Canis lupus familiaris: one gene and its partners. The protein of the gene in region 3 interacts with the protein of the main gene of each other region in a pairwise test. Links are inferred from orthologs where the notes say so. Each region holds a gene or a part of one and is shown on either strand. Other genes may lie near its edges.

What was found.
Region 1: the proteins of LEMD3 (region 3) and SMAD1 interact in binary tests that used the Homo sapiens proteins (3 or more experiments, as listed by UniProt). The link is inferred for Canis lupus familiaris from reciprocal best matches to the Homo sapiens genes LEMD3 and SMAD1.
Region 2: the proteins of LEMD3 (region 3) and SMAD9 interact in binary tests that used the Homo sapiens proteins (3 or more experiments, as listed by UniProt). The link is inferred for Canis lupus familiaris from reciprocal best matches to the Homo sapiens genes LEMD3 and SMAD9.

Annotation. Positions count from the first base shown.
Region 1 is NC_049236.1:44,385,381-44,389,477, forward strand, and holds the start of SMAD1 (mothers against decapentaplegic homolog 1), read left to right. Parts: upstream 1-1,165; 5' UTR 1,166-1,271; intron 1,272-3,508; exon of another isoform or gene 3,509-3,816; intron 3,817-4,097. UniProt on the Homo sapiens protein: Transcriptional modulator that plays a role in various cellular processes, including embryonic development, cell differentiation, and tissue homeostasis.
Region 2 is NC_049246.1:3,831,787-3,836,196, forward strand, and holds the start of SMAD9 (mothers against decapentaplegic homolog 9), read left to right. Parts: upstream 1-1,600; 5' UTR 1,601-1,657; intron 1,658-1,698; exon of another isoform or gene 1,699-1,759; intron 1,760-1,840; exon of another isoform or gene 1,841-1,885; intron 1,886-3,662; exon of another isoform or gene 3,663-3,732; intron 3,733-4,410. UniProt on the Homo sapiens protein: Transcriptional modulator activated by BMP (bone morphogenetic proteins) type 1 receptor kinase. SMAD9 is a receptor-regulated SMAD (R-SMAD).
Region 3 is NC_049231.1:8,180,411-8,184,056, reverse strand, and holds part of LEMD3 (inner nuclear membrane protein Man1), read right to left. Parts: intron 2,488-3,646; coding exon 2,408-2,487; intron 2,323-2,407; coding exon 2,177-2,322; intron 1,248-2,176; coding exon 1,146-1,247; intron 1,044-1,145; coding exon 941-1,043; intron 295-940; coding exon 116-294; intron 1-115.

The DNA of each region.
Region 1 (4,097 bases), on a different chromosome or scaffold from region 3:
AGTAGTTAGGTAGTGATAGGGAAAGAGGATTACAAAACATGTGTGTTTGGGAGGGGTAGGTAAAAGTTTAGATAGAGTGGCCAGGCTGGGTCTTATTGAGAGGGGAACAGTTGGATGAAGACCTGAGAGGGGTGAGGGAAGGCCCACAGCCATGTGGGAAGGGCTTTCCAGGTAGGAGACAGCTACTGTGGAGGCCCTGAGATGGGATTGGACTCAGGTTGCTCCAGGACTTGTGAGGAGGCCAGGTTGACTTGAGGAAGTAAGCAAGGGAGAGAGTAGGAGATCAGGTAGGAAGGAGTTGGGAGCACAGATCAGGGAGGGCTTTGTACACATGGTGAGAACTCTTACTTGAATGAAATGGGGAGCCACGGGAAGGTTTTCTGATACAATGATATCAATACACAAGCCATATTCAAGCTTTGACAATTGTCCAAATAATGTCCTTTTTTGAAAAAAGTATCCAATTTTTTATTGCCGCCATTTAAAGAAATAACTTGCACAAAGGGTAAAATCAAATTGCATAGCATATGCAGTGTGAATAATTGTCATTTGTGGCGATCAGAACTGTACTAAGCAAGGTCATGTGTAGGTTAAAATGTAATAATTTTATAATTTTTATAAAATAAAAAGTGAGTTTTATTGTCATTGCATAGCTTCTCCCACAATCCTGGGTCCAATTAAGGATCACACACTACATTTAGTTGCTGTATCTTTTTAAAACAGCTTTATTGAAACAAAATTCACATGCCATCTAATCTACCCATTTAAAGTGCACGATTCAATGGCTTTTAATATATCCACAGAGTTGTGTAACTACCATCACAGACTAATTTTATAACATTTTTTACACGCCCCCCCCCCCAAAGAAACACGATAACCTTTGGCTATCGCTCTTCCTCGATCTCCCTATCCTCCCAAACATAGGCAACCAACATTCTACTTCCTGTCTCTACAGATGGGCCAATTCTGGGTATTTCAATATGAATCAAATATGTGGGCTTTGTATCTGGCCTCTTTCATGTGATACAATATTTTCCAGGTTCATTCATGCAGCATGTGTCAGTATCTCATTCTTGTTAATGACTGAATAATGTTCCATTGTGTATACAGCACGTTCTATTTACCAGGGAAGGGTTTTGGGCAGAGGAGTGACCTGATCTGAGTGGCATTTCACAAGGCTCAGGCCAGCTGTTGTTTCAAGGAGCAGAGAATGATGAACTGTGTCAAATGCTGCTTTTAGGGAAAATAAGATGAGGCCCAAGACTTGACCAGTAAGTGCTCAAATAGCTTAACAAAGAGATGAACTGAAATATTCTGATCTATAATTTACAAAGTGTTGTATGTCTTATGGGGCTTGTTGCATTTCTTTTGAATAATTAAACATGGAATGCAGAAATAAATTAAGAAATATGAATTTAAAATAGACTGTGGACATGTAAAGGTGCATGAACAATTGGAGAGTACCATTAACTTCCTTCGGTCTTTGATATTTTCTTTATACTGGTGGTAATGGTTCTTTGAGTTCGTGAGAAATTTATTCCTCAGAGTAATCATTCCTCTCTAAACATAACTCAACATTATGGTAATTATCCAAGATTTCATGCCAGCTTCCAGAGAGCTAGCCAAGGGAAAAATTAATTCTTACAAAAGATATGTTCGAGGTCTATGCAGATCAGGTTAGATGAGAGCCAGTCTGTTTTTATTTTAGGGGGTTGGTGTCATATAAAAGATTATAGAAATCGGATCAAAAGTTGAGTTCCATCCCAAAAAAAAAAAAAAAAAAAAAAAAAGTTGAGTTCCACTGTGGCATCTGCCATTACTTAGAACCACTACGTTACCCACTCAAGTCATCACATACTGAACTGGCCCAAAACACAAAACAGCGATACGGGTGGGTGTAAGCAGATGCAGCAGCACTAGGCTATCCAGTTCTGGGTACGTGCAACTTGTGGGGCGTGCAAAAGTGAAGGGCAATGGAAACTGGACATGAAAAGGAGAGGTCTGAAAGAGAATGGTCAGAAACGCGCCCCGCGGGTGCGGTGGTAGCGTTCGGAGGGCGCGGTGGGCGGGTGATGAGTAGTTCAGAAAATAAAGACTAAACCTCGAACTTCACGTGAGGATAACGCACCAAGCCCGCTCCGCCGGGACTCCAGGAAGCAGGGGAAAGAAGGCTGGTTTCTTTCTCCTTGGAGTCAACGGGGCGTGGGGCCGGGGGCGGGCTGGGGGAGGCGGGAGCAGGGAGGTGGCCGGCCCCGCGGCCCCGCGCTCGCGCTCAGCGGCCGGGAATTTGGAGAGGATCCCTGGTCGCGCGGCGGCGGCGGCGGCGGCGGCGCGCGGGTGCGCGTGTGAGCAGGCGGGCGGGCGGGCGAGCGAGCGAGCGTGCGGGCGGGCGGGCGAGTGCGCCGGCTGTTGGCAGCCGCCGAGTGGAGGCTGGGCGGCTCCGACTCCCTGACGCCAGCGCGACCAGATCAATCCAGGCTCCGGGAGCGGGCGGGCGGGCGGAGGAAGCGGAGGCCGAGCGGCCGAGCCCGGGCCGAGGCGCGGGGAGGCACCCTGCGAGCGCAGCGCCCCGCCGGCCGGACCGGGGCCGCGGGACCCCGCTCGTCCGGCCCCTCGTGCGCCCGCGCGGACGGGCGCGCCGCCAACCCGGTAAAACGAAACAGACCCGCACCCAACTTTCTCCTTGGCCGCGTCCCCGCCCTCCTTCGGCGCCCGGCGCTTGCTTTCCAGCGCCGCCGCCGCCTCCCGTGGGGTGAGCGCGGGGCCGGTGACGCGGGCCGCGGCGGGCAGGGGGCTCTTCCCCGCGCGGGGCGGGCCGGGCCGGGCCCCCCCCATGATGGCGCCTCCCGGCCGCGCCGAGGAGCGGACCTGCCACCGCCTCCCGCTCCCGCTCCCGCTCCCGCTCCCGCTGTGGCGCCCGGCCGGCCAGGCGGGGCTCGGCGCCGTTCTCCTCGCGTCTTTGTTGGCTCAGCCGTGGGGAAGCCGCGCTCCTCCGCCCGAGCCTCTCCCCGGCGCCGGCCGCCGCGGGACCTCCCCTCCCGCCCTCTTTCCCCCTCCGCAGCCGGGCCGAGGCCCGTGCGCGCCGCCCGCCGCCCGCCGCCCCATTGTGTCCCGCCGGCCCGGGCGACCCTTGCGGGAGCTGGGGGACGGCCGCGGGGCGCTGCCCTCCGCGCGGTGGGCGCCCGGCCGAGCGGGGCCGGCTCCAGGGGCCCCCGGTGCCCCGCGCGCCTCCGCATCCCGCACGGGGGCCTTTCCCTGCCCCAGCGAGCCTCTTGGGGGTCGAGGTCAAGGAAAGTTCGCACCGAAATTCCCTCTAATTTATTCAAAGGCTTGGCGGCGGCGCGTATTTTTTTTTTTTTTTTTTCCCCTCTCTCTTCCGCCTACACCCCGTGCGCCTCCAAGTGTCGTCTCATTCCTTTCCCTTTACCGGATTCGATTGCCTCACTGCATGTGTATTTGTGAGTTCGCTGTTGAACAACTGTTCATTTACTCCGCTCGCCGCCTTTGTTAGTGTTCCTCGGGCTCGTTGCTGGAGGAAGGTGGGGGGAGTGGGTGTGAGCGAGACCGACGTGGGCTTGTTTTTCTAGTTGCTTTATACACATGAGGGCTTAAAGGGAGAACGTTTCCTTGATGCACTTTAGGAAGGGAGGAGGAACAAACGCCTGCCGGATCCCACAACTACAGTAGCTGCGGCTTTTGTTTATTTTGAGGCTCAAACGATTGTTCCATCTACTGTGCAAGATAGCCCGCGAGGCGCTTCCCTTCTGAAAATCGAGGCACGTCTCCGAACCATCTTCTTGAGAAAGCATCGTTTTCGTGAGTGCTGTGGCAACCGGCCTTCCCTACCCCCCCCCCCCTTCCCTTCCTGTTCTCTTCTTTTCCATTGTATCCGAAGTTTCAAAGCATGTGGAATGATACAGAAGTTGCATGATGTCACTCTGTCATCCTGTTGCTGGAACTCTTAGCACCTAAATCACAGAATGCCTTCGTTTCAGAGCATTTCTTGCTCTCCTTGCCCGTGGTGATAACATGCTTAACGTTCAGTAACACGATAAGAAAACTGTTCTCGGCCCGTGTTGACTTTTCATGTTGTTTAT
Region 2 (4,410 bases), on a different chromosome or scaffold from region 3:
TGATAACGTACAGAAAAAAAAAAAAAAAAAAGCAAACAAACAGACGACACACAAAGAATCTGCAAATCCAAGTCCTGCCAAGAGCCAAGAGAATTCTGTGAACTTAAAAAGATTCCATGCCAGAAGCATGAGCCAGCATTGCAGAGGTTATAATTTCTTGCTCTGCATTGTGTCCTCTACATCATCTAATGCACATACGGAAGCTGAAATAGTGACTGGCCATTTCTTTTCTCAATAACATTAAAAACAAAACAAAATCAACCTTGTGAGCCACAAGGTATTAATTCTGAGGACCTAATCAGTTTACTTGTCATAAAGTGCACATCAAGCCCTATCTGGAGCATTTAGCAGTCCAAACGTTTCCTGGTGTTTCACACCCATAGCAGTTTCAATCCTAACACCCGACCTGGAGCAGAGATAGAGGTAAATGGGTCAGGTGTAGGACTTAATTAAATTCGAGTTTAAGGTTCAAACACAAATGCCTTTTCATACAAGGTCATTGGTCAATCACAACAGTATGATAATGCAAAAATGGCATCTGCCAGGGCAAGAAAGCACAGTGCTTTCAGAAGTAGAAAAAGCAGTTAAATTGGAAGCCTTGCATTTACATTTCAGGCATCAGGGCCTTTTGGAGGTATGATTTTTCTATACATAGGAGCAAAAGGAATACTGTCCTCTTGATGCTCAATGCTATGTTTTCCGTGAAGGGCTACTGGCTGATGGGGAACATCAGTATGTTGAGGGCTTTTCCTAAATGTATTGAGTAGGTTCCCGGAGTCCACAGTGACCTCAAAGAGCAAGCTGCCTAGGGCGTAGCCAGGCCCTGAGGCAAGAAGCTGGTGCATTAACGTTGCTCAGCGTCCACAGGGTGTATCTTTATTAAGTAATATTATATATCATATGCTAGGGTGTTAAGCAAATAAATATACATAAAGAAATGAGAATCCACATAACTACATGACTAGTTTTTACCACCACTAACCACTTACAGTGATTAGGTTTTCTTCTGCCCGTGCCGGTGCAAAACCAGTTGCTTGGTGCTGCGGATGGGGGCAGTGATCCCTTTAGCGTGAAAAGCGGGTAAGGAACGCACGGCAGGTAACGGTAACCGTCGGGGCCCGGCACGTGTCAGAAAGGGTGGCTGCTGGGGGAGGGAGGTCCACCGCGATCTGCTGTTCTGTGCCTCCAGTTCTGGCAACGGCCCTCCCGGCCCCAGGCTCCAGGCGGACACAAGACATCTCGGGACTGGCGGGGCGGCGAGAGGCGGGGCGGCCGGGGCCTCCATCAGCCGCCGAGGCTAGCCCGGGGTCCCGCAGGGGCCGGGGCCGGGGCCGGGGCGGGGGGGGGGGGGCAGCGCGGGGCCGCGCCGAGCGCCGCCGCAGCAAGTTTCCGCGCACGTGGCCGCGGGGCAGGCCGCGCTCCCCCCGCCTCGCGGGCTCCCGGGGCGGCGGCGGGGCGCGCGGCGGCAGGCGGGGCGGGCCCGTGCGCAGGGCTGCTGGCCGCTTTCCAGGTCGGCGCACTAATACGGGCGATGAGGCTTCGCGGCTCCAGTCTGACTGACGCCGGCTGGGGCCGCCGCCGCCGCAGCCGCTGTCTCGGTCCCCGCCGCCGCCGCCGCCGCCGGGCCCTGCAGCCGCTGGGCGCGCGCAGCCTCGCAGTGAGTGCGCGGCGCTCGGAGCGGGCGGCTGGGGACCCACGGCGGGGGCGGGGGGCAGCCAGGCCTAGGGTGGGGGAGGGAGCAGTGGCACCGCGGGGACAGGTAAGCGATGCCCTCCCGGCCCGCTCCGGGCGAGCGCGCGCTTGTGGTGTGTGTGTGCGTGTGTGCGCGCGTGTGTGCGCGCGTGTGCGGCTGCGTCGTTCCCCGGGGAAGTCTCGAGGCCCTTCGGTGTGTGACTCGGTTCTTTGTACTCTGCATCCCCGCGGTTCTCGGTGGAGCCTGTGTGGGGCCGGGTGGGGCCGGGTGGGGCCGCAGGGGGCAGCTCGGAGCCTTGGCGGCGCGCCCGGGCCGCGGGCACCTGGGACCTGCGGCAGATGCTCGTCCCGCGGCGGGGGCGGGGGCGGGGGCGTGGGGCCGGGGCGGGGGCAGGGATGCGCGCTGGCCCCGGGCGGCCGGGCCGGGCACCGCGCGGCGGTCGAGCGCCGGGGACGGGCGCCGGGGACGGGCGCCGGGGACAGGCGCCGTGGACGCCCAGACTCGGAGCTCAGCAAGAGCGGGGGGCAGTGGAGCAACCGGAGTGGGGGCGGTGACTGTGACTCAGCCGGCCTCGCTGGCCTCCGTGTCCTGGGCTCTCTTGCTCTGCTTACCTTTGAGACACGCGAAGCGGGAAGAAAAAAAAAGTCCGGAATGTTGTTGGAGTGTCTCGGGCCGGCGCTTGGATCGTGTGGGGAGCTGCGAGGTTCCCTCCCTCCGCCCCCATTCGGTGCCCGCCGCGGGGAGAGGAGGGGGCGAGGCGGGGGACAGACGGGAGACTCCCTGACGCCAGCCTTGTGAGCGCAGGGAGGAGCGCGAGGGGAAAACACTTTCACGGGTGGCTAATCGCCGACCCTCTTCCCTTCCTATTCCTTCCTCCTCCCACCCTTGACAGTGGAAATTTCAGACGATAATTTAGAAATACTGCGTTGACTCGTTTCTGGGTTGGGAGGGGCACTCCTGAGACAGAGCCTGCAAAGAATGCAAATCTAGTTTCAGAATAAAATTGCTTGTGAATGATCTACCCGGTAGTTAACAGCGGGATGCACACGCGCAAGATGCTGTGGGCTGCTTTTAATGGATCCAGTTTACAAGTGCATTTCAGTGGTTTGCCGAATTTCTCGGATGATCTTTTGCAAGTGTGGTTTTTGCAGGAATAACTGTAAGGATACATAAGGATAACTGTAAAGTCATAAGGCATTTAATAGTGCCACCTCCTTGGCCATTACTAAGCAGAGCTTTTGGGGCATCCCTCTGAGTGAGTGAAATGTTCACGCTCCAAATCTATCTTCTGCCTCAGGAGTCCTGTCGGTGTGAGGGAATGCCATGGGATGTTTATATTTTAAAATAGCGATCTATGTTTAAAAAGGAAGTAAAAGTAAAACCCAAATACATTCTCCTAACTCCAAATTCAATAAGTGAATCTTTCTATGCTTGTAGGAAACCATGAACAAGATTTTGGACTGTTTTCAAGTTTGTGGTTTTCCAAGACGGACACTGCAGATAAGAAAATGATGTAATAGTTTATAAATAAGGGGCATTTTTAAATGTAATATGACAAAAGTTTAAAATAATAATATATCAGAAAAATAACATTTAGTGATAATAATTGCCTTCATTGATGGCAAGACAACTGTCTTTAGCAGACAGCCCTCAGCCTCTTAATCTATTCTGACACAACCAACTCCCATTTTTATGCTTGACTGGCTATCTTTGTCCCAGTTGTTTTATGCTTCAGCTCTGTGGTTTTAAGCTATGTTTAAGAGAGTGCCAACATATTCTTAATCTGAACAAACTCATTTTTATCAGTACAGTGTTTACTGAAGATCAAAGGTATAAGCAAATTTTAGGTTAAACGCCTAAGAACTTTATGATTCTCACATCTTTGTGAGATATCATCATCAGTGTCTTAACGTCAGCATGAACTATATGACTTTTCTCCCTCTAAAATATTTTTCTCTTATTTCTATATCTTCAGTTAATGGCTAATCAGAGAATGTTCACAGATGTCAACTACTACATCCCTGATTGCTCAAGACATGGTATGAGAAAGAAGAGCTTTGTTGTTGTTGTTGTTTTTAACGAAACCTTGCCAAGGATATCTATCAGTAATAAACAGCAGGCAAATTTGTTTATCCTTTCTGTCCATGTGGCCAGTTGAAGGAGAAAAGAAATCTGTCGAGAAATTATTTCATAAAGATTGAAATATTCGTTTTAGGTGTTGTGGATAGTTTAATTCCGATTAATGAGAGTTCAGTTTCCTTTGCCAGATTGGGAGAGCTGATGTTTCAGGAGTGGTCACTATGGCACTTAGGCAACTAACTAGTTTATATCTCACATTCCTTTTGCAATAAATAAAACAGCAATTTCATCATATTCGCCTTTAGTAAGTCAGAAATAGTACTTACCCGCAGACTGTACTTTGCTTTAAGGGAAAGTAAAGGTTATGGAAAATTAAGATCTTTTTTTTTTTTTAATTTGCAAAACATACTAATTACATTTTAAACCTGAGTGCAGATTTTGTTTATTGCTTCTAACATTTGGAGGGGAATTCAGAAACAGAGAAGCTTCCAGAATAAAAGAATAAATATAGCAGTACATTGAAAGCATGAATCTCTTCAAATAGTTGTAATTCTAGGCTGTTGGATTTATATTTCCTTGGTTACTGTTGCTAGTGAGTTGAAAAGTTATTCTAAAGCAAAAAAAAAAAAAAAAGCAAA
Region 3 (3,646 bases):
AGTTTGCCCTTGTATTTTTCAACAGTAGTATTTTACTTTAAACATATTAAGACTTTCGTAGTTGAAAAAAATTGGAAAAACACTATGTTTATTTTTGTTGTTTAAAAATACATACCTTGACCTTGCCATACTTTAGAAGGTATTACTAATATTTTGTCACAGGAGGCAGAAGGTTGGATCCATCGCCAAACTAGAAAATCTGCACCACCTATTCTTCGTGTCTCTGTGCGAACTCTTGACTCATTAGCAGCAAGGAAGTCAACAGCTCTATCCCAGACTTTCTTCATTTTTTTTCTATCATGTGAACAAAATGACAAATTTACTGGCATCTTGGCTTGGAATCTTTTTCATGTATTACTAATTGAAGGCAATGGTTATTATTATTTCTGATTTTCCTTATCATTGCCTACAAAATTTTTTCAAAAAAGACTTAGATGCCTAAAGCTCACCTCAAATTTACTGAATTTCATTCCTCAGAGGTGAAGCATCAGTAATCCGCCCCCTCCCCAACTCCACTAATGATTCTGAGGTGTTGCTATGGTGAAGAATGCTACAGTAGGATATAGAATCATTTATTTTCAAGAAGTCATTATTTAGTACTTTTACTGAAAAAGTTTCATTAACAAAATATTTAAGGCGTTATTAACAAAACATCACTATTATCTGTTTCTTTATGAAGATGAAATTAAAGGAAATAAGGTGAAGATAAAAATAAAAAATGTATAAAAGTGATCATGATTTAGAAATCCAGTTGTCTTTACACTGCTCAAAATCAGAACAGAAGGGAATTTAAAAAGGAAGGAGAGTTTAAGTACAAAAAATAAAGCCTGTACAGAACAGCTCTACTTGAGAAAGGCTTCAATTCCCGATATAATCTTCACAACTTCAGAAATACTACCAACATTCTGATCTAGTTCAACTCGTAATACTTTGAACATACTTGTCATGAGGTTGTATTAAGGAATCTTGCACATGTGGAATAGGCATGTAAGGTTGTAAGTCTTTATTTTCCTGGCAAGCTTCATTATGACTTCGTAAAACATCTGAAAAGATAAATTTACAAATGAATCAATCATTGATCATGTTATAATTTATCACATAATTACTATTATAGAAATAGTTTAGATTTTTACAAATACTTATACCTATAATCTTTACCACCATATCATACATCTGCCTTGTTTCCTCCTCTTCTTTTGTCCAGCGATATTTCATGTAACGCAGAACGACACAAACCATCACAACACCTGCAATATTTATAAGTTTTGTGTTTGAAAAATTGTGCTCAGTGACATTCAATAATATTCACTGCCACCTGAAGTTATTGGTCTAGTCGTTAAATCTGATGTTAACAAAACAAAGCAAAAAAAGAGAAATCTTATGACAGTTTCCACAGTGATTATTTTAACTGCCATAATAGGATAATGGAATGAGCCTTCATAACAGTAGGCTGAATTACCTACATAAATTACAACCACATAGAACAATTTAGTATTGAGCATTTTCCAGAGCTTCACTTAATCTCTCTAGAAACCATTTCTTTCATGATGCTGACAGCTGAACATTTTAAATTCTATTATTTTTTTGAAAACAGCATAACTATGTTTCACAAGCTTTTTCCTTTGCCACATTAAACTATTAGAAAAGTGGGTTTCCAAAGACCATAAACATACTACATCTTAGGAAAATTATTTTTAAAGGACTTAAACAGAGAAAAGAAAGAAATGCGTTATCTTCTAAATTTCTATAATCAATCAAAAGTCACATAAAATCCAGGAACCCAAGTAAAAATTTTAATGCAGGTAAATTATATTTTTTAAATTAATAATAATTTTAATGAACTTAATTTATACTTTATCATTTTAAAAATCAGCTTAATTTTCATATTTCCCGTTCTATTTTCTAAAGATAATCTATGTCTTTTTTATGACATTCTTATAATAAAGTTTTATTCCACCTCCACTTATAGCACTGTTTTCTAAGCCCTTAGATAAATACTGACATTATTTAAAAAAGAAAAACAGCTTCAATATTACTCTACCCTAGTGAAGGCTTCTGTATGTGATTTATAATGGCAACTATCACAGAAGTAAATTCTCAACCCTGCCATTTGGTGAAACACAGCTATAAAAATTCTAGACTGCCATGTATCTTCTTTCTCATCCCAATAACTTACCTAAGCATAACAACAATAACCTGTGGGTGACAGTAATAAAAGCACGTCGAAAGCGACACCAGAAAGACATCTGTGGTCTTGTGGACTGTAAGAACTGCACATCGGTTATGTTTGTCAATTGCTCCTCAGGGCCATAACCAACACACCTAGTTAAAAATAATTAAGGAGACTTTAGAGTCAAAATTATTTCTTATACTACAAAGTGGTCAAAGTGGAAATTAAATCCTTTACCTTATTCCAACATCTTTTCCATTTTCTAAAATCCACTTCAAAGAAATATTAAATATATCTTCATATTCAGGGCCTAAATCCTAATAAGGAAAATAGAGAACATAACTATTCCTAATAATTCATATTCATTTGACTCTATAAGCTATACTATAAATACCATACTTTTATCTTTATATAACACTTGAAACTGTATTACACAACAAAACTGTATTACAGAAAAATGAAAGGGGAAAAAAGTCACAATTTCCCCATCTTCCTAAGATAAGTACACTTAATATTTTGTTATATTTTCTTTTTGGTTCTTTTACATTTACAGATTTGGGGGTTTTCTGAAATATAATTTGTCTTTTAAGTATCACTGTGATAAAAGTGAATTAGCTACTTATTTTTTTTATAGAACCCTATATTTTTAGATGAACAAATGGCAAACTATACAGACTTGCCTGTTTCACTGACATTTTCTCAGTAAGTGAATGAAGCAAGCATGTCAACTTAAGAAAAACAGCTGACTTTGTTACCAATGATAACATTCAAGCTTTCAAGTGAAAAGTAAAATTTAGAAAAAGTTGCATCCATTACTAGGAGTTTGATGACTTCACAATACTTAAAAATTTTTGCAATGAAACTGGGTAATATTAAAGAATGTGACTTTGTGGTATGGCATAATGAAATATGTCAACATTGGGAAGATCTGCATAAACAGCAAACTAGTATTTTCCAAATGAACCATGCAGGAGTTACTAAATCTTGCATAGGTAAAAGATCTATTTTACATGCAAAACAAAGGACTTTAGAGACAGACTTTACAAAAATCACTGATATGGCTTCAAACTGCACATTGCAACTAATCTTGAAGAAACTACCTCTTAAAGAGTTTTGATGCAGTATCAACAAAGAATATCTACAATTATCTGAAAAGAGTATTAAAATGTTCCCGTTTTGACTATGTATCTGTATGAGACTAGATTTTCTTGATGTACTTCAGCCAAAACATTGAAACAGACCCAAAACAGAAGCAGATATGAAAATCCAGTTGTTTTTTTTATTAGCCTACATAGTAGATTAAAAAGATTTGCACAAATGTAAAACAATGCCATTTCTCACTATGTGCCAGGTACTGTTCTAGGACCTAGAGATAGATGTAGCACTAAGCAAAACTGTGAAAATTGCCTGGGTTCACGGAGCTTAATGTTCTATTCAATTTTATATCTTTATGTACTTTTTTAAGTACAAAGAATG